Lepisosteus oculatus: one gene and its partners. The protein of the gene in region 1 interacts with the protein of each later gene in a pairwise test. Links are inferred from orthologs where the notes say so. Each region holds a gene or a part of one and is shown on either strand. Other genes may lie near its edges.

The links.
Region 2: the proteins of calcium and integrin-binding family member 3 (region 1) and trim2a interact in binary tests that used the Homo sapiens proteins (3 or more experiments, as listed by UniProt). The two-hybrid records come from large-scale screens. The link is inferred for Lepisosteus oculatus from reciprocal best matches to the Homo sapiens genes CIB3 and TRIM2.
Region 3: the proteins of calcium and integrin-binding family member 3 (region 1) and tacc3 interact in binary tests that used the Homo sapiens proteins (3 or more experiments, as listed by UniProt). The two-hybrid records come from large-scale screens. The link is inferred for Lepisosteus oculatus from reciprocal best matches to the Homo sapiens genes CIB3 and TACC3.

Annotation. Positions count from the first base shown.
Region 1 is NC_090724.1:5,142,779-5,150,287, forward strand, and holds the start of calcium and integrin-binding family member 3, read left to right. Parts: upstream 1-4,436; 5' UTR 4,437-4,519; coding exon 4,520-4,570; intron 4,571-5,845; coding exon 5,846-5,880; intron 5,881-6,710; coding exon 6,711-6,822; intron 6,823-7,371; coding exon 7,372-7,509. Other genes in the region: tax1bp3 (tax1-binding protein 3), read right to left, coding at 3,321-3,359. UniProt on the Homo sapiens protein: Acts a an auxiliary subunit of the sensory mechanoelectrical transduction (MET) channel in hair cells. Plays a role in regulating hair cell MET channel localization and function.
Region 2 is NC_090696.1:24,973,115-24,980,624, forward strand, and holds the start of trim2a (tripartite motif-containing protein 2), read right to left. Parts: upstream 3,104-7,510; 5' UTR 2,987-3,103; intron 2,870-2,986; exon of another isoform or gene 2,680-2,869; intron 1-2,679. UniProt on the Homo sapiens protein: UBE2D1-dependent E3 ubiquitin-protein ligase that mediates the ubiquitination of NEFL and of phosphorylated BCL2L11. Plays a neuroprotective function. May play a role in neuronal rapid ischemic tolerance.
Region 3 is NC_090696.1:5,719,605-5,726,932, reverse strand, and holds the start of tacc3 (transforming acidic coiled-coil-containing protein 3), read right to left. Parts: upstream 3,104-7,328; 5' UTR 2,995-3,103; intron 1,294-2,994; 5' UTR 1,293-1,293; coding exon 1,128-1,292; intron 996-1,127; coding exon 844-995; intron 1-843. UniProt on the Homo sapiens protein: Plays a role in the microtubule-dependent coupling of the nucleus and the centrosome. Involved in the processes that regulate centrosome-mediated interkinetic nuclear migration (INM) of neural progenitors.

The sequences.
Region 1 (7,509 bases):
TACCATATATCATCACATAACTTGACAATCTTCACACTAGTTATGTTAGCATCTAATGGAATGATGAGTCTGTATCTATCTCTGTGGATAAACTAAGAAACATCAATTCACAAAAAGCGGATTAACTAAATATTGAAAATGCTTTTTTCACTCCAATGCAATATTTAAATAATCTATACAAGGGCACTAAAACCAGTTCTGGGACTATGACGTGTTAATTTAACTTCTTATCAGTTATCTCACATTCCTCTCCTTATGTGTAATATCAAGGACTCGGCAATCTGCAGTGAGGCTATTGGCTATTTAAAGAACGCCATCATTAGCTTATCCTGTTGAGAATGTTTTGCAATGTCCTGGCATCTTCATTAATATAAAGAAATAACATGCAGCATGTCCTATAGCAAATCTACCCAAAAGTCTTATTTTCAAGTCCTATGAAAGCTAACACTATCTTAATACATCAAGTAATCTAATTCAAGGTTCTTGATAGAACTGAACACTTTGCAGACTTGTTAGTTGCATTTTCAGCATTTTAAAAGTTGTCTGAATACATATGAAAACTGGGAAACACAATAAAACACATGAGTACCCTCATCATATTACGATGGTCTGAAGTCAACTTCACTGCATGTTCAGAGGGAACCCAGTCAATGCACTGCAGCAGAAAGTGTAATATCTGTATTTACTAATCAGACTGGGATGTGCAAACATGAAAGTTCTTTCTTCTAAGTGTGACCTGGAATGTTAGCACTCACATCTGGCTTTCTTTAATATGTTATTGTACTTGCAATCAAAGCTAAAATACTTTTCCAGGAAGTTACTCTTAAGATTCTATTGTTATAAAATACTCCTTTTAATTAAATCAATATAAATGCATGTGAGGAAGCTTATAAAAATAATAACAGCTTCAAACACTACAGTGTCCCAGATTGTGGATGAAAAAAAAAATTTTTCAATATCTCAGTTTGAGGACAGCACAGTGGTACAATGGTTAGGTTTGCTACCTCACAATGCTAACCGCTGGGGACCCGGATTCAATTCCTGGGGGTACTAACTACATGGAGTTTATAACACATGTTCTTGCATGGGTTTCCACTTTGTGCTCCGGTTTCCTCCCACAGTCCAAAGACATACTGGTACAGTAGGTCTACTGGCTTCTGTAAAATTGGCCCTGCTCTGAGTGTGTGTGCCCTGAAATGGAGCCATCCAGGTGAACAGTATCTCACCTTGTGCCAGTTGCTTGCCAGGGTAACTTCCAGCTCTCCCTACAACCATGTTCATCTTAAATGGATGAGAAAATGGAAGGATGGATCTCAGTTTGAAAAACTTAAATTCAGATTCTTTGTAAGGACCTCGGGGTGCTCACTTGTAACTCACACAGCAAAAGCACAGAATATGAAGAGGTCTTCCTATATCTTTTCTATTCTGCATGCCTTTTCTCCTCTAATATTTACTAAAAATCGCATGTTTCATCGTGTGAGCACGTGCTAATACAAACAACATCCGTATGTAATATCTGCCCCCACTGACCCTGGATAACAGCATGTCCTGTGGCGTCAGTCACACACCCCAGCAGTTTGCCAGCTCATGTACTGACATGGTGAACAGGATGAATCTCTCCGTGTATTAGCAATACTGTTGTTTAAATAGTGTGTTGCCAAGGTGACACGAGGTTCAAGGCTTCTTAGATCTTACTATAAAAAATACCATACATAAAGCCTTCTACAGCACCTACAGTGCTCTTGGTTCTTCATTCCTTCAATATTTAAAAACCCAAAGCTGGAACCTTGAATAGAAACAAATTTGTCAGTTTCTCCATATCAGTCAATTTGTTTAGATGAGAAAAGCTAGAAAATGCTTTCTTAACTCTCCACTTAGTTACTGTGTGTCTGTGTGTGTACAAAGTGGTCTCCCCTTCACATTATAAGGGTGCTTTTTACGATTGGTCTCTTTAATAACGAGTAAGCAAACACAGTTTAATCCACAGTACAGTTTGTGCTAACAGTGTCATACGTTCATTTTGATGAAACAGCTGGACATATGTTGAATGAATAATACGAAAAAGGTAATTGATACAGATGTTGCTGTTACAGTTCTTCATTGAAGTTCGTGAAATACGCTGACCAGAATTGCTGCTAAATTAATACATCGAGGAATTTCTCAGAGCACCTCTTTGCCGACAGGTGTGTCAGTAACAACTAACAAATTGTTAGGCGGTCAAATGTTTTTTGAGCAATATATAGAATTACATATATAGAATAATTCACTGAATTGTTGGTTAACAGTTAACATGCACTCAGCAGTGGGAAAAAAATACATTTTCTGCTACAATTGCTATACTGTCTGTAAGTCTTTTCCACATCTGGTGAAAAGACGATTAAAACGAATAGGGAATTGTCTGTAACCTACAAGTACTCATATCTATATGAGGATTTTTCATTCAAACAGGTGTAACAAATTAACACGGGTAAAAATAGCCGCACGCCATTAAAAATGTATTTCTTGATACTGTAGTTCCGTGAAACCTGACGAGCAAACTATGATAAAAACTCACTCATACACCCACTTCGTAAACACGCGGGGAAACCATTTACCGTAAGTAGTTGTAGTTGAAAAAAATCGGATCAATTACTTAAAACGAATGCACATCTGTTATAACCACAAAGCAAATAGCCTTAATTGTATTATTAATTTATAATTGTATTGTATAGGTTTTGCATTCTATAAAAGTTTTAATTCTTTCAAATTCACAAACTTTTCATACAGAATACAGTGCAGGTTATCCGTATGTATGTAGTAGTACACGGGTGCGGATGGTACCCTTTAAAATTTAAAGGAACCGTGATTTCTCAAAAAGAGCCGAAGCAAAGGAGACAGAATTTTTTTTCAGAAATGTTCTACTAAGTAAAAATCAATAACGCATCAAACACATACTACTAATGATGTGAATAAAATTACGACGACAAAAACTCACTTTCTTTTACAAAAAATAAAATTTCTCATTCAAGTTTGCATTGAACTAGTCATTTACACCAATGTTAGTTTTTACAACTCGTGCGCGTAAAAACCATGGATGTTATTTTTTATGTTAAAAGTAGATTACTTTAGTCACGCAACAATACATTTAAAATTTTTTCGTACTCGCACCCCAACGTAACAGCTCTACAAAGGGATTTCTGCGTTTCCCCCCGTGGCTTCAACTTGATACGCAAGACCGAGGCTTTGTAAGGCCTACAAAATATTCCCTTCAAATAGCTCCATAGCCGCTATGGATGATGCACGGAAAAGCAAAAGAAAGTTTTCTTGTTAGAGAAACTTACCACTACCGCTGTAACTGGCTGTCCTGGAATAAAAGACATTGTAAACCAAATACAATAAAAATCGCCTCACTCCGTAAAAAAGGCACAGCCCTCAGCCGAACAAGGGATAAATACAATTAAAGCACCACTTTCCTTATTCATGAGCAGACTTTGTGAATAATTCATGACTCGGCTCCAGGTTGGGCGTATAAAGATGAGGTAATGCTCCCTACTGTTGGTGTTGGAAATTAAGTCGATCGTCCCGATTTATACAGACTCTTAATAAAAAACTAAGCACTACCGTGAAACTTCACAGTAAAGTGCTGTTGATTTAACTGGAATTTAAACTGCAGTCTTGTTTATATTAATGGAAATGTCCTTGCAATTTTAAAGGACGCCAATGTATTAAAAAATCTTTGCTCAATTTCACAATTCTGGAAGATCCCTCCTCATGTTTATTTGGAGTTTGAAGTTACAAAATTGCACAAATAAACGTTTAGTGTTCAAACGGTACAAGGAATTAATGTATTCGTCAAGTTTTGTTAAGAAGCACGTTTATTTTTCTTATGCATTCAAAGTAATTCTGATGTTATTCAGCTGCAGACCTTTTAAATCCCTTCCTTCTGGGTCTCTTTTTCTTTTTATTTGTACAAGGTACATTAAAAAAACCTGCCCTCTGGCCCATCACGCACCCTAAGGATGTCACCCAGTTTATTGAACAGGGACAGCGCACAGCTCTTAAACAGCACTAGAGTTAGTTAAATGACATCTGTACATCTGGGATGGACACAACATGACACAAACACGATACAAGTATACAAGTACTGCTTGCTGTTGTGGACAAACGTCAGCACACCAGGTTGACGAGACCTGATGCACTGTCTGTAAAGACCATTTAGAGGCTGTAACGTGAGACAGGGGTGAGTGCGAGGTAGGAACATCACGCTGGGGAGCACTTGGCGTTGATATGAGTCTGAATCATGCTGGACGCCAGCCCTAGTTCATTTTAAAGGGGCTTCTATTCAGATCAGAGAAATCGATGAAATGCTCCTATTATGATGGTGAACTAAAGGGGCGCGTGGCAAAGGATACCTGATCTCCCACTGTTTCAGGGCTCCTTTTGTTCCAGTATTTTCATATCTGAAATATCCAGAGGTCTTATAAAAGGCTGTTGGGTGGAACACTGCAATGGCACTGAGGCACGGGGAGTTTGCACAAGGATGGGGAACAAACAGACCATCTTTACAACACAGCAGCTAGATGCCTATCAGGTTGGTTCTAATTTATTGTCTCTCAGCGGGATGTTCTTTGAACTCTCATGATTATTCTTATTCAGGGCTGCACTTTGCAGATTGGAGCAACTTCTCTTTCTGTACACTTTACCTGTGAACCCACTTTCAAAGACACAATGTTCTACGGTGTGAATCTTTCAAATAAGTCGTGAGTGAGCACTTTCTGAAACCACTGTAAATATCTGTTTTGTGCCAACAGTTATTACTATCAGCAAAGTATAGCAACCTGCTCCACCCAGATGCAATACAATTGCATTGGATCTTTTTCTAACTGGGTTGTGAAGGCTGAGCATTTCATATAAGTTTAAAAACAAGCAGTAAGGATGACACCTGTCTTTCTGGGATTGATTATTTCTGTGCACTGCGCCTTTCACTTTTGAATGGACCTGCTTGTATTAGCAAGGGATGTGTGGAGTGTGGAGTAGCAGTCCTCATTTCTAAATTACAAAGCTGTATGTTCTAGCCAGCAATCCCTCCATTTGTAAATGCCAGTGGTTTGAAAGGAAAGTTTGCAGCCTCGGTTAAAGAATTGACTGCTCATTCGAAGTAAATGGCCATTCTTGTTCACCACAGTCCGAAGGGTTAGCGCCAGTGTCAAGCAAGGCCGGATTATGGCAGGGTCTTTGTTCCATTAACAAAGAGGGTTGCTGAAGAGGAAATATGATTAATTTCTTCCTCTGTTAGCTCTGCAGCATGACTGTGCCGAAAGGCTGCTGGTACATATTCATCCAGCATTATTTACTGATGAGCTGGTTTGGTATCAGTCCAGAGAAGAGCAACTAGATACATTTTGGGTCTTAAGGAGATGTTGTACACTGACAAGCTGAAAGAACTGAACCTCTTTAGTCTTAAACAGAGAAGAGTATGAGGTGACCTGATACAAGTATTCAAAATTCTGACAAAGATAACCCAGCAGAGTTCTTCAGAACAACATTATTCGGGAAATTCTGGCTTATTTCAAGGAATGGCAGGATGATATAAATTAACTGTTAATTAAATGTTCTTGAATAGCGTTCTGTAAGTAACTGTTTTTATGTTATTATGTAGAAAGGTAATAAGAAATAAACAACTTTTCATCCGTTGAGTCTTCAAGTGTCTTGTATTGTGGTTTTGCCTTATAATGGAGATGTAATAAAAAATGCTAATGTCACATACATGAAGCATGCGTATCACATAAGTGAAGTTATGCCAATATGATGAACAGACAAGCATTCTCTATAGTTCAAATAGTTTTTATCTTTGTTGTTTTTCTAGGACTGTACATTTTTCACCAGAAAAGAAATCCTGAGGTAAGAAAAATGGCTCACCTTTGATAATAAACAAGGTTAATGAAGTAAATCCTTTTTGTTCATGTGGAATGTGACACAGCGAAGTTGTGAGGCATTTCTGTTAAGAGAACAAAATACAGAAAAAAACATTTTGCAATTTCATTGAGAGAAAAAAATAAACTCTTTCAAAATCTTTGTTCAAAACAACCACAAGGACAAATTTTATTTGAACATAGTTTATATTTACCTTTCAGTAAAAGAAAGACAATGAAATATAGTCTGTCTGTCAATTCAGGAGCTAAAGACATTAGGTTGAACCATTGACCTGCATGCAGAACATTATTTTAAATTAATTTCTTTTACATTAGAATCCTTTGCACAAAGTTGATTTAGCTCATCAGTAAAAATTCAGTTCTCTGGGTTTGATGTTCAATGACATTTGCAGAATTAAATGGATTTTGATTGTCGTCCTAAATCCTGAACAGAACTGAATGGCTTCCAAGCCGTTCTTCTAAATATAGTGCTTGTGTAGTCCATTTAGTTTAGACTAAATGGTGTCCTGCCCAAATTTCCCCCTGGCCCTTACCAATCATGGCCTCCTAATAATCCCCATTTCTGAACTGGCTTCATCACTCTGCTCTCCTCCCCACTGAGAGCTGATGGGTGTTGAGAGTACTGGCGCACTTTGGCTGCCATCACATCATCCGGGTGGGGGCTACACACTGGGGGTGATGGAGGGGACTCCCCATTACCTGTAAGGTGCTTTGAGTGGAGTGTCTAGACAGGCACTATGTAAGTCTAAGGATATTATGATTATGATGTATCCTTGTGTCATGTACTAATGTCCCTAGGCTGTTTCATCGCTACCGGGACCTGGCACCACAGCTTGTTCCACTCGACTACACCAGCAACCCAGATGTCAAGATACCATACGAGCTGATTGGCAGCATGCCAGAGTTGAAGGTACGCCCACCGATTGTGCTGGTGAAGGATGTCCATGCCATGCTCCTGGGGACACAATCAATTATTCATCGCCTACTAATTGACAGGAGCCTTGGAGAGGTTATGAGTAACTTGATCCCTGTACACCTGAAGAAAGTTATATTGCACAGCTTGTGCTCCTGGCAATAGCAGCTATTGTCTGGCACTTCACACACAGTACAGGGCTGCTCTTGTGGGCATTTGCACCGTGGAAAAGATCAGCATTATTAGTGAGCAAATACACCCTTAATCATCTGCCAAAATCCCTTTGCAGATAGAGAAACGTTTGCAAAAATATTAGACCAATAGTTTGCTAAAAACATTTTTGGTAGAACCTGTAATAGATAAGTTGTGTGCAGGTGAGCATGGGAGGTATGCTTTGTCTCTGTTGTTCTGGTAAAAGCAAACAAAACTAATCAATACATTTCTCTACAGGACTGGTCATTAAAAAAGGATGTGCAGTACTTCAGATGGTTGTGAGTGATTCAGGGTGGTAGTTAATTAAACAGATGTCTTTTTTGCAAATTGCAGGACAACCCTTTCCGCCAGAGAATAGCTGAGGTTTTCTCTGAAGACGGAGAGGGAAATATGACCCTAGATGACTTCCTGGACATGTTCTCTGTACTGAGTGAAATGGCACCAAGGGATCTGAAAGCATATTATGCTTTT
Region 2 (7,510 bases), on another chromosome or scaffold:
TGGGCACTACCAGAAGCAACACAAGCTACACGTACTGTATGCAACATATGCTTTATAGCAGTTTGCAAATCCTATCTTGTGAAATTCTGTTCCATTAGTCTTGTAGAGCCTGCACAAGCATGTCCTCCTCATGGGTCAATGAGCCCTTCATACTACATATCATACCCATAAACATAACTATCATATTCTCATCTTGCAAGTGAGCCATTATTAAATAAGCAGCACGAGGATAAGTGTTGTCCTGCTGGCATGAGGTCATGTCAGGATATGCCAACAGGAACAGCATCAAGTGAGGTCCTAGAACTTCAATGTACTGTACTCCGTGCAATCAAGTTCCCATTAATCACTTGTCGCGCCCTGGCAACTCTGAGACAGTGGATTGTGCCGTATGAAAACGATCACAAATATACAGTGTGGTTATGTATTTGTGACCCCTCAGGTCATGGCTCATCATTGGCAGACTGTCTGTCACGGTTGACATCCCTCCCCTAGAGGGCCCTCCACTGCTCTCTTGTCCCTAGCTCCTTGTGATTGTTTATGTCCTCCCGGTGTGTCTTGTTTGTCTCTCTATTTAATCCTAGTGCCTCCAATGCTCAGGGCTCAGCATTAGCATATGGATGTCACGAGGCCCGCCTAGCACCAGGTCGTCCCACGTCCGTGGCCTGAAGGCACAGGCCTCATCCCCCACATTTCCTGTTTCCTGAGCCCGGAGCGAGGTCCTCCGAGGTCTTGTCATGTCTGTGTTTCCCCTTCCCAGGGATTTTAACTTAGAGTCGTCACTGGATGGATTTCTCGGATTCGGACCCCTCGACTGTGCCCTGACTCTCCTATGGACCCGTTTGGATTTGGATACCTGTGTCTTTTCTCCCGATACCCTGCTGCACGAATAAACCCTTGTTTGTTTTCACCATAGCACGTCTTCCTTTCCTCCAGACTCTACTGCTCGCATAGGGTCTTATCACAAACCCAAGATGGATTGCAGAGCTATTCCGTGACACTGTCAGTGATTGGTGTCCAATCAACTCTCTCACTTACTGTATGGCTTATGCAAGAGTCAGTCACTCAAGTGCGTCACAGTCAGTCATGAAAGATCTATTCATCGAAATGACACCAAAATCATTTAATCAATATCCATTTTGTGCTGACACTCATTGTAATTACTATACATGTCTGAAGAAGATTCTAAATGTATTATTACAATGAAGCTACTTTTACAGACAATAATAAAATATAAATCAGTAAACATGTTATGCTAATTTCTTTATTAATTTTGTATTGTATGTGCCTTTAGCTTTTCAGTTGCCATCTTTTAAACAGGAAATGAAATAAAAACAACATAAAACAGAAAACAGATCTACAGAATAACACAAACATTCCCATTCCTTGTCTTCAGGTTTAATTGACACAATAAAAAAATGAACTCAAAAAAATGTCTAGAAAGACATACAGCTCTCATATGATTGGTAATCAATGGTAAACTAATTTTAGCCTGACTTTTTTCCTATACTGTACCTCACATGTTCTCGAGTATCACAAGGTACAGTATGTAACAGTCCTCCTTCACTATCATTAAATAATGTAAGCACTGATAGCATTGCTATTTTTCAAATGAAAAGCTTCATTGTGGATCTTTCAGGGTATGTTAACACATTATTTTTGGTTACGTGGTTTCTACTATCTGCCCTATAATTTAACTAATTGGTTACATCATTTTACATACATGATGTACAAAACAATAACTTGAAAAGCCCACAGCGTATGAAACCTGAATGCCATTATGAGATGCAATTTACTCCATTCCGCCTTAAATTAAAAAAGATATTTTATAAAGCAGCAGCCTTTAATACTGCCCTATCCGTAACAGCAACCCACAAAAGAGAGTTCGATTTGTCGATTATCTAATTTTAGTACACAGTGACCTTAAATATCAATGAACTGGAGCATTTGTGACCAAACAGAAATCAATGAAGAGAAACAAATCCTCAGCAGAAATCTTCGAAAATCTACACTGAAGCGCAATATACGTGTGAACTGTATATATATATTAATCATACGAAATTCTAAGTGCAAAATATCGTTATTACACACACACATCAAAACTGTTAGAATATTAGAATATAGGTTTATTCCATGCTGAATAAAAGAAGAAAAAAACACAATGTTTCGGCTGTAAGACACTTCTTCCACAGCCCTTAAACCCGAAGAAGGCTCCACAGCCGAAACGTTGTTTTCTTTCATCTTCTTTTTTTCAGCATGGAATAAACCTATTACTTGTTTCTTTACATGAATAGTTTGTATTGCACCACCAATCAACAGAGTTGGCTTGAAAATCACAAGAGATGCAATTCGGAAAGTGGTGACAGCGCTATTTGTGATAGCGATCATACCTGTATGTAACTTTTAAAAACTTGCTGTACCTCAGAGAAACCGACCAGAAATCCACAGTAAAACAGTTTCTTTTAATGCAACGATGCTGATACGAGTCGACACAAAAGCTCCGATTGTTGTCAAGACTTTGCTAAAAGCTTTGCATCCTCTGAGGAAACAACAAAGCACAGCATAGTCCACGTTCATACTATCCATGAACTGAAAACAACGAACAAAATACGCGCCGTTAAATAAATATTGGCAAATAAATTATAAACCTTACGATGGGGGAGCAGAGATGACTAGCCCTACCTTTAGCCCTTGAGTGCAGAAGCATGTCGAACAGCGAAAAGCCAGATTCTGTTGCACAGATTCCTTGTTCTCACTTGTCATGCAGTGATAGGACAGTAGCGATTATTACTTTGATGACACTTAAAAAAAAAGCTTTCCGAGTGCTTCCATAAATACAACAACCATTCGACCGAAACACACGACTGTTCCTCCTAAGGCACCCTTATTGCTTACTGACTGGTCAAAGTGAAGACAAACGCGCAAGTGCTCTGCTTATAATGTACTATGACTGGGAAATCGAAGGAAACGAGAAGCTAGGCGTACTCACGTTCACGAATGTATTCTGTCACCCTCAACAAAGGTAGAGAAAAAATCCTCTTCGCCTTAACACTTGTGAATTGAGAATGAATGGAGAGCTCACCCCTATTGCCTACTTAATCCCATACTGTATGTATGGAATGCAGCAGCCAGGTTTCACTGCAGATTCAGGGATCTTAAATCAAAGAAGGAGGAGTTTGTAGTGACGGGACGAAAAGAACACTTTTAAAATGCCTGTGATAATAGTGTCCATTCTTACTATGAACGTCTAGTTATTCGTTGTTGGCGGTGTTGATGTAAAAATAATTTACTTAATTCTGGACGGACCTTCATTACGCTGGACTGAAATAGCAGAAAAGTTATACTGAAATTTCAGTGATTCCGTGAAAACTCCTTAATACATCCAAATAAAATATGATGTGTATTTTATTCAAATCCAGATTTATTGGATAAATAAACGAAACAATGATATTTTTATGAATATAAAATAAACATTACATTATTGCACATAACGTATAATGACTTACCTATGGTACTAAAGCTTTTCAGAAAAGTCTAATTTACATTATAAGCTGTCAAATATATCATTATCAAATGAAGAAACTTGATGATTAATTGAAAACGCAGATGGATATACGAAGATATATTGAAAATAATTCAGGTTTGCCCTCTCATAAACTGTGGCCTCTATTCAAAGTCTCTGTTGGCCTGTCCCATTTCAGGCAATTAACTATCCTACAGATTTGCTGAAACACACATTTTTTAATTCAGCAGAAGAGAAGTGACTAGAATTTCTTTTAATTTTCTGTTAATGGATCTGCTGTTATTCAGAAAGCAGTCTGGAATATTGAAGGAGGATTGAAAACAGCTCTTACATTTCTTTCTTTGTGAATAAAGAAGATCAGTTAATAATGTAAATAGCTGGCATGAAGTATCTCAGGCTAGTCATCCACAATAAGAAATATTGGCTCCTACTTTTGAATTCTCAAGGTCAATGTTTTTCATCAGGTATCCAGCAAGAGAATATCAGATGCTGCCTCGTGAGCTCATTGGACATTATTTGTCAGATGATGAATTCTAAATCCTGAGACATGCAGCTCGGTGTACAAACTTTTTTGCAGCTCTATTGGCCAGTAACATATGTGACCTTATTTGCTGTATCTGATGTGTTGCCTGAGAAGCATTTCCATGTAAATGACCAGTATGCCACTTTGTTTTTGTTAAATAAGGTAGATGAGCTATGTGCCCTCCTCTTTTTTGTAATCTCTCTTATGTTCTTAAGGGACAAGTTGAGATCATCCATTCCTAATGCTGTATTCCAGGTCTTTGTAAATGTTTTCAGGACAGCTGTCAAAGCATTTTACTGCAGTACAAAACGTGTTCCCTCTCCCTCTCCCATGCTTCTCTTCCTCTGAATGCCGTGCATTTAAAATTCCAAAGCCAAGTTGAAGTGAAAACTGTTTTATTTCTGATTTCCTTTGTTCTTCAAACACTTCTAATTCCCAAACTGCTAGCTTCACATCCATACAAGAGCAAATTCATTTGTGAAGAAAAAGCTTTACAAAACCCCCATTTGTGGTTTCACTGCATTAGTGTGAGCTGAAATTCAAAACAATCCTTGAGCACCTTAGAAATAATGATAAAAACAGCTTTGAACAAGAAACTTGTATTTATTTTGCAAATACTGTGTTATTAGTTTGGTAATACTGTAAATCAAACAGTTTACAAATGAACTTACTAATATTTTCAGATTTGTATGTACTTTTTTTTGTGAAGCAAGAGCACAATAAATTACTCAAGCCCAGGTTTAAATGTCATTCACCACCGAAAAAGCTGAAGTTGTTATTTATTCTATGACCTTAGGCATGAACTATAAACCTAGAAAACTTTGCACTCATTTTAATTCCACCCACTTCCCTGCATGCATCTGCTTCTCAGCATGGCATTGGTTTCCAGGGGAACCATGGGCAACCATTTCTTTCCTCAGGGAGACTGTTGCTATGGTAACTATACATTATGCATCAGACTGGATGAAAGCCCTTTCAGATGAAACGTTATTTGCATTCCTGTTTAATGTGAGAATTGTCTGATAGTGACATAAAGTATACAAAGAGTTTTGAGGGTTCGGATGTGCTTTTCTGAATCCAAAACATCTCCCAACTATGAAACCAAAATCCAGCTATATGCAGTGAGAGTACTGAAAGAAACAAATTGGTACTTGACATACAGTAAGTAGCGCATTAATATGTAATGGAGGAGTTTTGCCTCCAGACACTTTACAGATTAATGAAAAGAAGATGAAAAAGAAGGAATAAAAATAATGAAAATACCAGAATATAAAAAATACCTTACTACTGTACTAAATATTTAAAACATGTCCTATGTTTGAAATTTGAAATGTGTTACAGGCTACCAGTATTATGGAAACCTGCAGCTCTTCAGTGACTGAAGCAGAGCACGTATAGTATATACTCAGACTCCTTATCCGGCTTTATTTTGAGACTGATCTTTAAATTCTAGATATGGTTTGGGATATACTGTAGTTTATACACTACACTATCAACTTAACCCAGAAACAAATGGTTGTAGACTGCCAAGCCAGCATTCAAAGTCATGATTATGCTTTTCTCTGGTGGTATTTGAAAAAGTAAAACAAAATCAAACAGCTGTAGATCTTGAGGTTTTTTATCTACATTCACACTCAATCACTTAACTGAAATGCAAACTATCTGAAGAACTAAGAGTTCAAATTAAAAAGTTGTTAATAGAAAGTTATCTATAAATCCTGATAAACTGTAGATTTTATTAGGTAGTGTGTTTATCCCTAACAAACGTACAAAACTTGCAACTAACTAGAAAGGGGTTAGCTTTCTTTTAGCTCGCCAATAGAAAGAACAGAAAAGATGGCAAACACTTCCCCAGGAGTAATTGTTCAGGAGCATTACAGGAGCTCTAAGCATCCTTTTTTTTTTGGTTTCACTACCTAATTTTGCATTTAAAGATAAAGCCTTTTGGCCTCCTAAGGCTAATAAGCTACTTTACCGCTACACAACTCAACTATGAATGCAAGGCTCCACAGGGAAAAGCACACAACACTAATCTCCTGTGTCTTCTGTCCCTCTGGTCATAATAGTGACAGTGTTCTGCACCGAACATTCGGAGAGAGATTTTCTTGTTGTTGTCATGGTCCCAAATCCCAGGAGACTGATGCTAAGTATACTGATACTGCTAACTGACAACTTGGAGAGTCTAGATGTAATTAGATTATATGATTTGGCTCAAAATGTCTGCTTTGTTATGACATACTTCAGATATGATATCCAGTTGCTACTTCCAGTACAAAGATAATCATGCAAATTTACTATAGTGTCAAATATTTAAATGTATTCCCTTAACAATTTAAAGTAACTCTAAATGCTGTTAGAGTTTTGGGGTCATGTTATAAATTTGCCAGAAAATTATTTTACAGCAGTAAAGCTATTACACAGGGTTATGTGATATTGAAAGAAAGGTCAAAATGCTGACTATGAACTTCTGAGTGCTTTATAATCCTATGGTCTTTTAGGTTTCTGCCTTTTTATCTGTTCCGAAGAAGAATCCATGAAAAAGAATCACATCATACCCAGTACAGGAATACTCTTCCCTGCTTTGAAAGAGACATGTGCTTGGTGTAGAATGCTGCTGGCTTAATCTAGTTGTACACTTGAAAACAATTTTAATCCCCACTGAAAGAAGCAAGATAGGTGATTCATTGGAATAATCTTGAGTGTTTTAATTGAGAACAAGAAATTAAGAACACATTTGCATTACAAAGATCACATTTGGCAAGCTACAGTTAAGAACAAGCCTGGAAAATTCATGCTAAATTTGGGGAAAAAGAGATAATCTTAACACAGACACCTCTCATACTAAAAGAGGCTCTGATAAGGTTTTACTCGGAGAGGGGTTGCTGTTTTCTCTATGATAAGGATAAACACTTCTGGAAATGAGGAGTGTTGTCTGTCAGCAGAAAGATACTAGCCATCTAAATGTTAGGAGATGACAGCTTCTGAGCTTCATGCCTCTCTTCTAAGCAAAGTGATTCGTTATACTTTAATTAATGCTGCTATTATCCTTTTCTATGTTTCCCAAACACCTAAAATCTTCAGCTGGTTATTTCTAAATTATCAGTGTCTGTGTGATGTGAGACCAAAGCAGACGTGAAGAGTCACAGCTCATATTTATTTTTGTTAGAACAGTTCTCATTTAGATTGTGTTTAACAGCACCGCACATAATGATTTGCATCAACTATAAATAAACTTCAATGCAGAATTACATTAACAGAGTTTAGGTTGGTGTGATTCCAGACTTTAGTGCCCTCTGTGTGATGTCTTCGTGTCCTCCCCAGGTTTTCATGTGGGTTTCTGTAGGTGGTCTGGTTTCTTCTCACCTTTGATAGACATGCTGGCCATGTTAATTGGTGCCTCTAAATTGTACCTTTGTGCTTGTTTGTGTGCCCTTTAGTGTACTGGTGTCTCCCCAGGGTGGAGGTTA
Region 3 (7,328 bases), on another chromosome or scaffold:
AATTATTCTTATAACCAAGTTTACACAGGTCTCAACCTCTTGGAAAAATGTTTCATTTACTTCTAAACACACACTGTTGCTTCCTCAAGCAAAATGCTCACAACAAATCCTGGCCTTTCCTCAGCTCCTCCTCTGCCACAATCATCAGTTCTCCTTTTGTTACAGCCAGATGGATAAGCCTAGCAACTGGTCTTAAAAAATCATTAAAATGCTAATAGGTCAAATTCACCACTTCTGGTATATAAAGGTATTAAGGTATTGACATTCAAGAACACTGACCTAAATGTCATGCAGTTAAATAGGCATATCCAAACATGTAAAGTCTTAACCTTGAAAGACCTTGAAATTAAAGTGGTTTAAAACATACAACATTACAATTTTACCCAAGAAGTAAGATGCAATGCTGACTTTGTAATTTTTCTGCAAAATATTTCAGACTTCAAAACAAGCAGGAGACTCCTGCAAAGTAAGGCAAAAGGGAAAGGACTCCTGGTCCCAAAATCTTTGCTCAGAAAATAAACCTAAAAAGCACAGTAAAATGAAGAATTAAGACTGTAGAAGTTGTAGTCACTCTAAAATAAGTATTGAGAGCTCAAAAGAGTGTCCTATTTCAGTAGGCTTGGTCACAAAAAGTCCAGGTAAACTCAACATTTGCCAGACTCTTCCTTTGTGACCTCTCATACACAGTACTCTAGGGCACAGCTCTTGGGCAAGAACACCTTTGCCTATCCCTTCCTCTCCCCTCAGGAAGCACAGAAAAAAGAACAGTGGCAGCAGGTATAAAGAGTAAGAATACTGGTGGATTCCTGTTCTACCAAACGCAAACCCACATCAGCAGCTCACCCTGTGATGGCAGCAGGGTGGTTTTCCAGGGAAAGAGTTTCCATAGCCTTGGTGCAGTCATCCAGACCATCAGCACGCTCCACCTGGCTTCCCTTGTTTGACGAGACAATCTTGCGCGTCACGGGGTCTCGCAAGGGCGTCTGAAAACAGACCTGAAACAAAAGGGAGACGTGGCAACTGTACCCATCTTCTCCAACACAGGTGTTCAAGGGCTTAATTAAAAAGATCCAACGGAGCTCATTTGGAAAGAGGATTGCGTTTTACACAGTTCAGAAGTTCTATACCTTCACTCCCTTTGCCAAGCTTTTAGGAGGCATGTTTTCCTTTTGGGACTGGCGCAAGATGGAGGGTCTTCCTGTGGGCTGCAGGATATCGCAAGTCTCCAAACTGATGCAGCTTCGTGCAGGATCCACGCCAAAGTTTTCATCGTTCACGGCAACCACACTCATCCTGCGAGCAGACAGCCAGTGTGAGTGACAGGCCACGCCCAGAGTGCCAGCTCCACAGCTGGGCTGGCAGATAACAGTGGAGACCAATTTGGAAAAGCACACTCAGCATGACTCCACTGTCAATACCACTTCATATCCACTATATCACTCACCTTCAGCACAAATTCACTGTACCTTTAGTTACTACACAGTGGACATGATTCGGTCCACTCATTGCTTTCAGCCCTCATTAACTGGATTATGTACAGTATATGTTTGAATTTTAAAACAAAAACTACATACAAGTCAGGAGTAGAGTGCCGGGTGTCATTTTCCATACTGAATTAAGAATTTGGGATTTTTTAAAAAAGAATCACATGCAGTTTGACCTCACTAAATGTGTGACAGAGCAAAAAACAGTTTCCCAGATTTCTTGTGAAAAGATATAAATCCTTAAACCTCTTTGAAGGCAACCACTGCAGAACTAATCTAGTATGTACTAAACATTGTGTAAATGCTCAACTTATTTACTGATGTTTAGGAAACAGTGCATTCCATGACTATAAAACCACTGGCCACACACAGCAACACAGGCTGAAACACAGCAGCTTCCAGTCCTGTAGTCCAACCAAAACAATGAATTTCATTATGGCAGTGTCATCACAAGACCAGAACAAAAAACAAGACTCCCAAGCAGGGGCGGAATGACATGTTCCAGAAACCTTGAGATACAGCCCATGTGACCATACTGGAAAGCACTGATTTTTCACTTGGCTCTTTTATTGTAGGTGACAAAGAACGTGTCCCTATCGTGTCTGAAGATTTACCATTTTAAACACAAAGATGTTATCTTGCGGGAGGGGCTATCAGAAGCCAGAAACGATAAAAGTCCAACTCTAGGACCTGTGGTTGAATTCAAATAGCACAGGCATAAAACCCATTCACGACATAAAAAGAAAGACGAATTATCTCTCTCTCACCGACAGTCTGTACTTCGCAAGATTACGTCACCGCATAGAGAGGACCTCCCAGCCCCGTTTAAACATGTGAGGACAAGAAAGCAAGTTCCATGCACGTTTCCCGGAACTGAGCCGAAAGGATGCAGCGATCATCTGATTTTATTACATCCTCATCGATCATTAGCAAAGATGAGCAACAAAGACGTTATCGCCTGTACTGTGGGTTCAGGCGATAGACCGCGTCTTAAACTTGAAAAACGGGCTTCGACAGACTAAAGAGAGATTCACACGTAACTGGCAATTTCTAAAAACTCACCCAGGTGACAGCTTTCCTCCAAGAAGTCTGATTGTCACAAACAGGCCTGCAGTTCGGCGTTGCGTTCAGTGATTTAGCAACACTTAATGACACGATCATGACTTATCCAGCCATTGAAGCAGGCAGCCGCGAGTGAACACGGCCTCACACCCGCACACATGAACTGTCTTTCGGCTGACCCGCATCACAGCAACGCCGCAATTCATCCGTCCCATCACGAATAAAGCAGCTCGAAAGTGAAGACGTACTGCGGCTTACCCGGTGAAACCTGGCCGACAGATAATTTTCCGTTTTCCCTTACAGGCGCAAAATCCAAAACACAACTACCAAGAAAGCTGCGATTCTCCCCGTAACCCCGCTGTCTGCCCAGAGACGATTTCCATCAAAAATAAAAAGCGCCGAAACATGCAACAATTACTTCTAAAGCCCGGCACAAACTCATACGTACCTCGAACGACGAGTAAAACAGCATCAAACGCGAACAGCTTTCTTCACACTCAAGTCCGTACCTGACGTTCAAGCGCTGCAAACCGCCCAGTACATTTTAAATTTAAACCGAGGCCAGCAGCCAATCGGGAAAGGGAGCACGTCAGCAAATGGGTGTTTTTTTAAGACAAACCAGCCAATGGCGACTGAGGACAGACGGAGCTGCGAGATAAGGGTACGTCACCATGATTGATTGCCGAATAACCCAATAGGATGGAGAAACGACGAGCTCGAGCGCTGCGTTACTAGTTAAAGAGGAGGATTGTGTCAGCGGAAGCTGTGTTTTTCTGAGCTTGTTGATGACATATAATCAGTCTCTGAATTCGTTGTGCCATTGATTGACAGAAGTGTATATATGTCGACAGTGCAAATGTACGATGCACGTGTCCTGAGCAGCGCTAAAAGTTTTTTTTTTCCGTGAATGTGTGGTCAGCATTAGTGTTACTGCCACCAAACCGAGTTTCATCCCGGGAAAAGTGAAGCCGAATTATAAAACGAGGGCTGGTTTCATCTGATACATCTCCATGTCTCTGTGATCAGTAACACTTTTACACTGGCAGTGGTAGTTTCCTCTCCTCCGGCAAAAAAAAAAAAACAGAGGGTGTCTGGTCTACTGTAATGATACCAGCAGAACCTAAAACAAAACGGGAAAACGTGATTAGAACCACATCAAACAAAATTGTGGGCAAAGGATTTTGTGGTCACTCTCGTTTCAGTTTTAGTGCCTTTTGTGAATTTTTTTTAAACGATATTCTGTTAAACAGGACATATTAAAAATGGAAATCATAATAATTCCTTATACTTATATAGCGCTTTTCTGGACACTCCACTCAAAGTGCTTTACAGGTAATGGGGACTCTCCTCCACCACCAGTGTGCAGCCCCACCTGGATGATAGATAGATAATACTTTATTAATCCCGTAGGGAAATTGATGTGTTACAGCAGTCCAGCCTAAGACAAGCAAAAACAGACTTAAGAATAGTTATAAAACAAAAGACAACAAAATAAAAAATAAATACATAGGTGTGTGCAAAATGTGATGATCATAGTCACTGTAAAAGCAATAAAATATGTGCAAAATGTGCATAGGTTTATACAGACTGATTGATGGGATGATGCGACAGCAGCCCATACTGCACTCACAGTACACTCACCACACAGGAGCTCTTGTGGAAGAGAACAGAGATGAAGCCAGTTCATAGATGGGGGTTATTAGGAGGCCATGATTGGTACAGGCACTGGTTCATTTAACTTGGAACAATGCCATACATTAGAATTCACAGGTGAAGATTGCTGATCCGTGTGCCTAAGGAAGTATCCAAATATCCACAGAGCTCGGACTGTCTGTGTCCAACAAACCAACTAAGTTGGACTAAGTTAGGACTAGGCTTAGAGAAAAAATAAGCAATTTATATCACTTCTAGTTAAGATCACTACTGGAAAGGGATTTGATCACAGGGAGATGTAACTCTGGGCTTTACTCTCAGACATACTCTCAAAACTGTTTTTTTTTTTAAGTGGGATGATGAATTCGGAACTTAATTCTCAGGTGTAATCACTGAATTTCACACATGTAAAGCCGCCCTTGGCCTGTTGCAATACATTTCTTCAGCAGAAGCATTTAAACACAAAATAAAGTACAGAGGGGAGCTCAGGAGATCTCCATTAAATTTAACGTGAAAGAAAAGCACAAAGAGTGGTAGCAGCATGGAACAAACTAAAAGGACAGGTGGAACACTGCTGGATGAGATCCACTGATTAATGAGTTATACCAAGCCAGCACACAAGTGCCCTTTCATCTTCTACTAAAAACATCATTGTTAAATTCAGTGTGCTCATCTACTCATCAGGCATCGTTTTAGATCATCTTTGAGATAGTGTTACAAGACAGAGTATGAATAAATAAAATAGAAGTATATAAAAAGAACACCAGGACCTGACAACACCTTGCCTTGCAAACAGATTGTCAAAGGTAATGATTGTACACTGAGAGGGTCGATACCATGATCACATAGCTGATGGAGAAGTGCCTTTCTCTGTGGTGCTGTTGGCAACAAGCCGTAGTATTTTTCCCCAGAGCTTTAGAAAATGAAAGGTGTTGGAAGTCATAGGAATGCACTGTGCTTTGAGCTCCTGGATTGTCTTATTATGGACAACATGCAGTTCAGCAGACAAATACAGCAAAGAGAGCCGGGGTATGAACCACAGTTTCCAAAATGTATCCGTGCTCTCCCAGTCTAGGAGTGATAGATGAGAGTGGTAGATGGCCTCAATAATGCTCCATATATTTGTATGTAAATGTATTATGATGTCTCTATATTGTAAATGTCTGTAGATCTTATGTTGATTATATATGATGTGGCAACAGTGATTTTTTTATTGGTCATGCCAACAAAACTTCTTGAATTGAGTGGTGACATTGTGGCTAAGGATCTGCACCTGTGGCTGGAAGGTAAAATCCAGGGGCTGGCAGAGGAATCCTACCCCATTGGGCCCCAGCTGCTCCAGGGGTGCTGTACAATGGCTGACCCTGCTATCTAACCCCAAGCTTCTCCTCATGTCTGTGTCTCATGGAGAGCAAGCTGAGGTATGCAAAAAAGTTTTGGCAGGTGACTGTGTGTTGATTGGGGAACCATTAACCAGCATCTAATCAACGTCTAATCAATTGTCCTACTGAGATGGCAGGGGAGATACCTTGATCAGCCTGTAGGTGGAGTAGTTGGATTGTTTTCTTGTTTTGTGGGAGCAGTGTTTGTTTTGCAGTTTTTGAAATGGCAACCTTTGGATCCCGCAAGAATGCTGTACGTTTTGAGCTTTTGGATGACCTCTTCATGGATCGTGTGCAGTTCAGCAGAAAAGTGTTACAGAAGGAGCTCGGCTTTGAACCTCGGAACTTGGATTTCATCTTCGCTCTCCCAGGTCAGAAAGCATTTGAGGTTCTATTTGCTACCTATCCTCTGTTTGAACAATGCGTGGATGTGTTTGAGGCAAAAAGAGGGAAAGTTCCTGCACTTGAGAAGATCAACTTGCAGCCTCTGACACAGAGAGAGAGGAAAACGGTGCATGTTGTTATGTTCTCGGAACTGGCAAAGACGGAGGACATTCACACCTGGCTTAACCAGTACTGCACCGTCCACCATGGAACTGAGGTTAGAGATGTTGACGGTATAAAAACAGGAGCAGGGAAATTCGAAGTTCGCTTGCTACCGGACAGCGTAAATGGACGCTTAAGGCACCTGCCCTCTACAATCCGGCTGGGCGCCTGCAATGGCTATGTGTTTTATGTGGGACAACCAAAGGTGTGTCGGCGCTGTGGTGCTGTGGGACATCTGGCATCGTCCTGCACTGTGAAATGCTGCAAGACCTGTGGCAAACAGGGACATTTAGCCTCTGACTGTTCAATGCTGCCAAAGTGCAATTTATGTGGCTCGGAAGGACACGTTTTTAAGAACTGCCCTCACGCCTACGCCAATAAACTCAAAATGAGAAAGGATGAGGCAGTGCTTGTTTCAGCCAAACCGGCCCGAAAAGCCAAAGCAAACAACAAGTCAAACAAAGAACCCTTGTTGGACAAAGACTCTCAGCCTCCAGCCAGGATCAGTCCTGCTGTGGCTCCGGGGCTGGTGGAAGAGAAATCCACTACGCCCCCACAACCGCAGACTGCACCAGACAAGCACGAGGGTTTGAAAACCCCCGAGAACAGCGAGGACCCCTCCCCCACTCCTGCTCCTCAGAACGAGGGCCAGTGTGGGGCCCCCCGGTGGAGCGGGTCCAGCGAGGATACCCAGGATTCAGCGGAGCTGCTTTTCTCAGACTCTGCAAGTGCTACAGATGCCCTCCTCTCCTCCATCCAGTCCATCACGAAGGATCTGCGGCAGCTGGTGGGTGAGGGGGAAGAGGAGACCATCCTAATGAAGGCTCATTCAGAGGATGGCTGGCAGGAAATTGGTAAGAAGAAAAAGAAGAAGGTAACAGGTGAGACAGAAGAGAAATGTGTTTTGTAAAGACTGGTTCCACTTTCTTATGTAATATGGCTCTAAACATAATTTCTCTTAACACCAGAGGTATCAATGACAGAGTTAAATGCCAGTCTGTCTTTGATTACCTCCAGCAGAGAGAGGGAGATGTGTTGATGTTGCAGGAGTGTGCTTTAGCCTATCAAGAGAGGTATAAAAGCTTTGAAGATAGGTGGGATAAAGGGCCTTCTGTTTGGTCAGGGGACAATAACAACAGAGCCTCTGGCGTGGCCATTCTTTTCAAAGGATGGGCATTCAAATTGAAAAGTATTCAGAGGG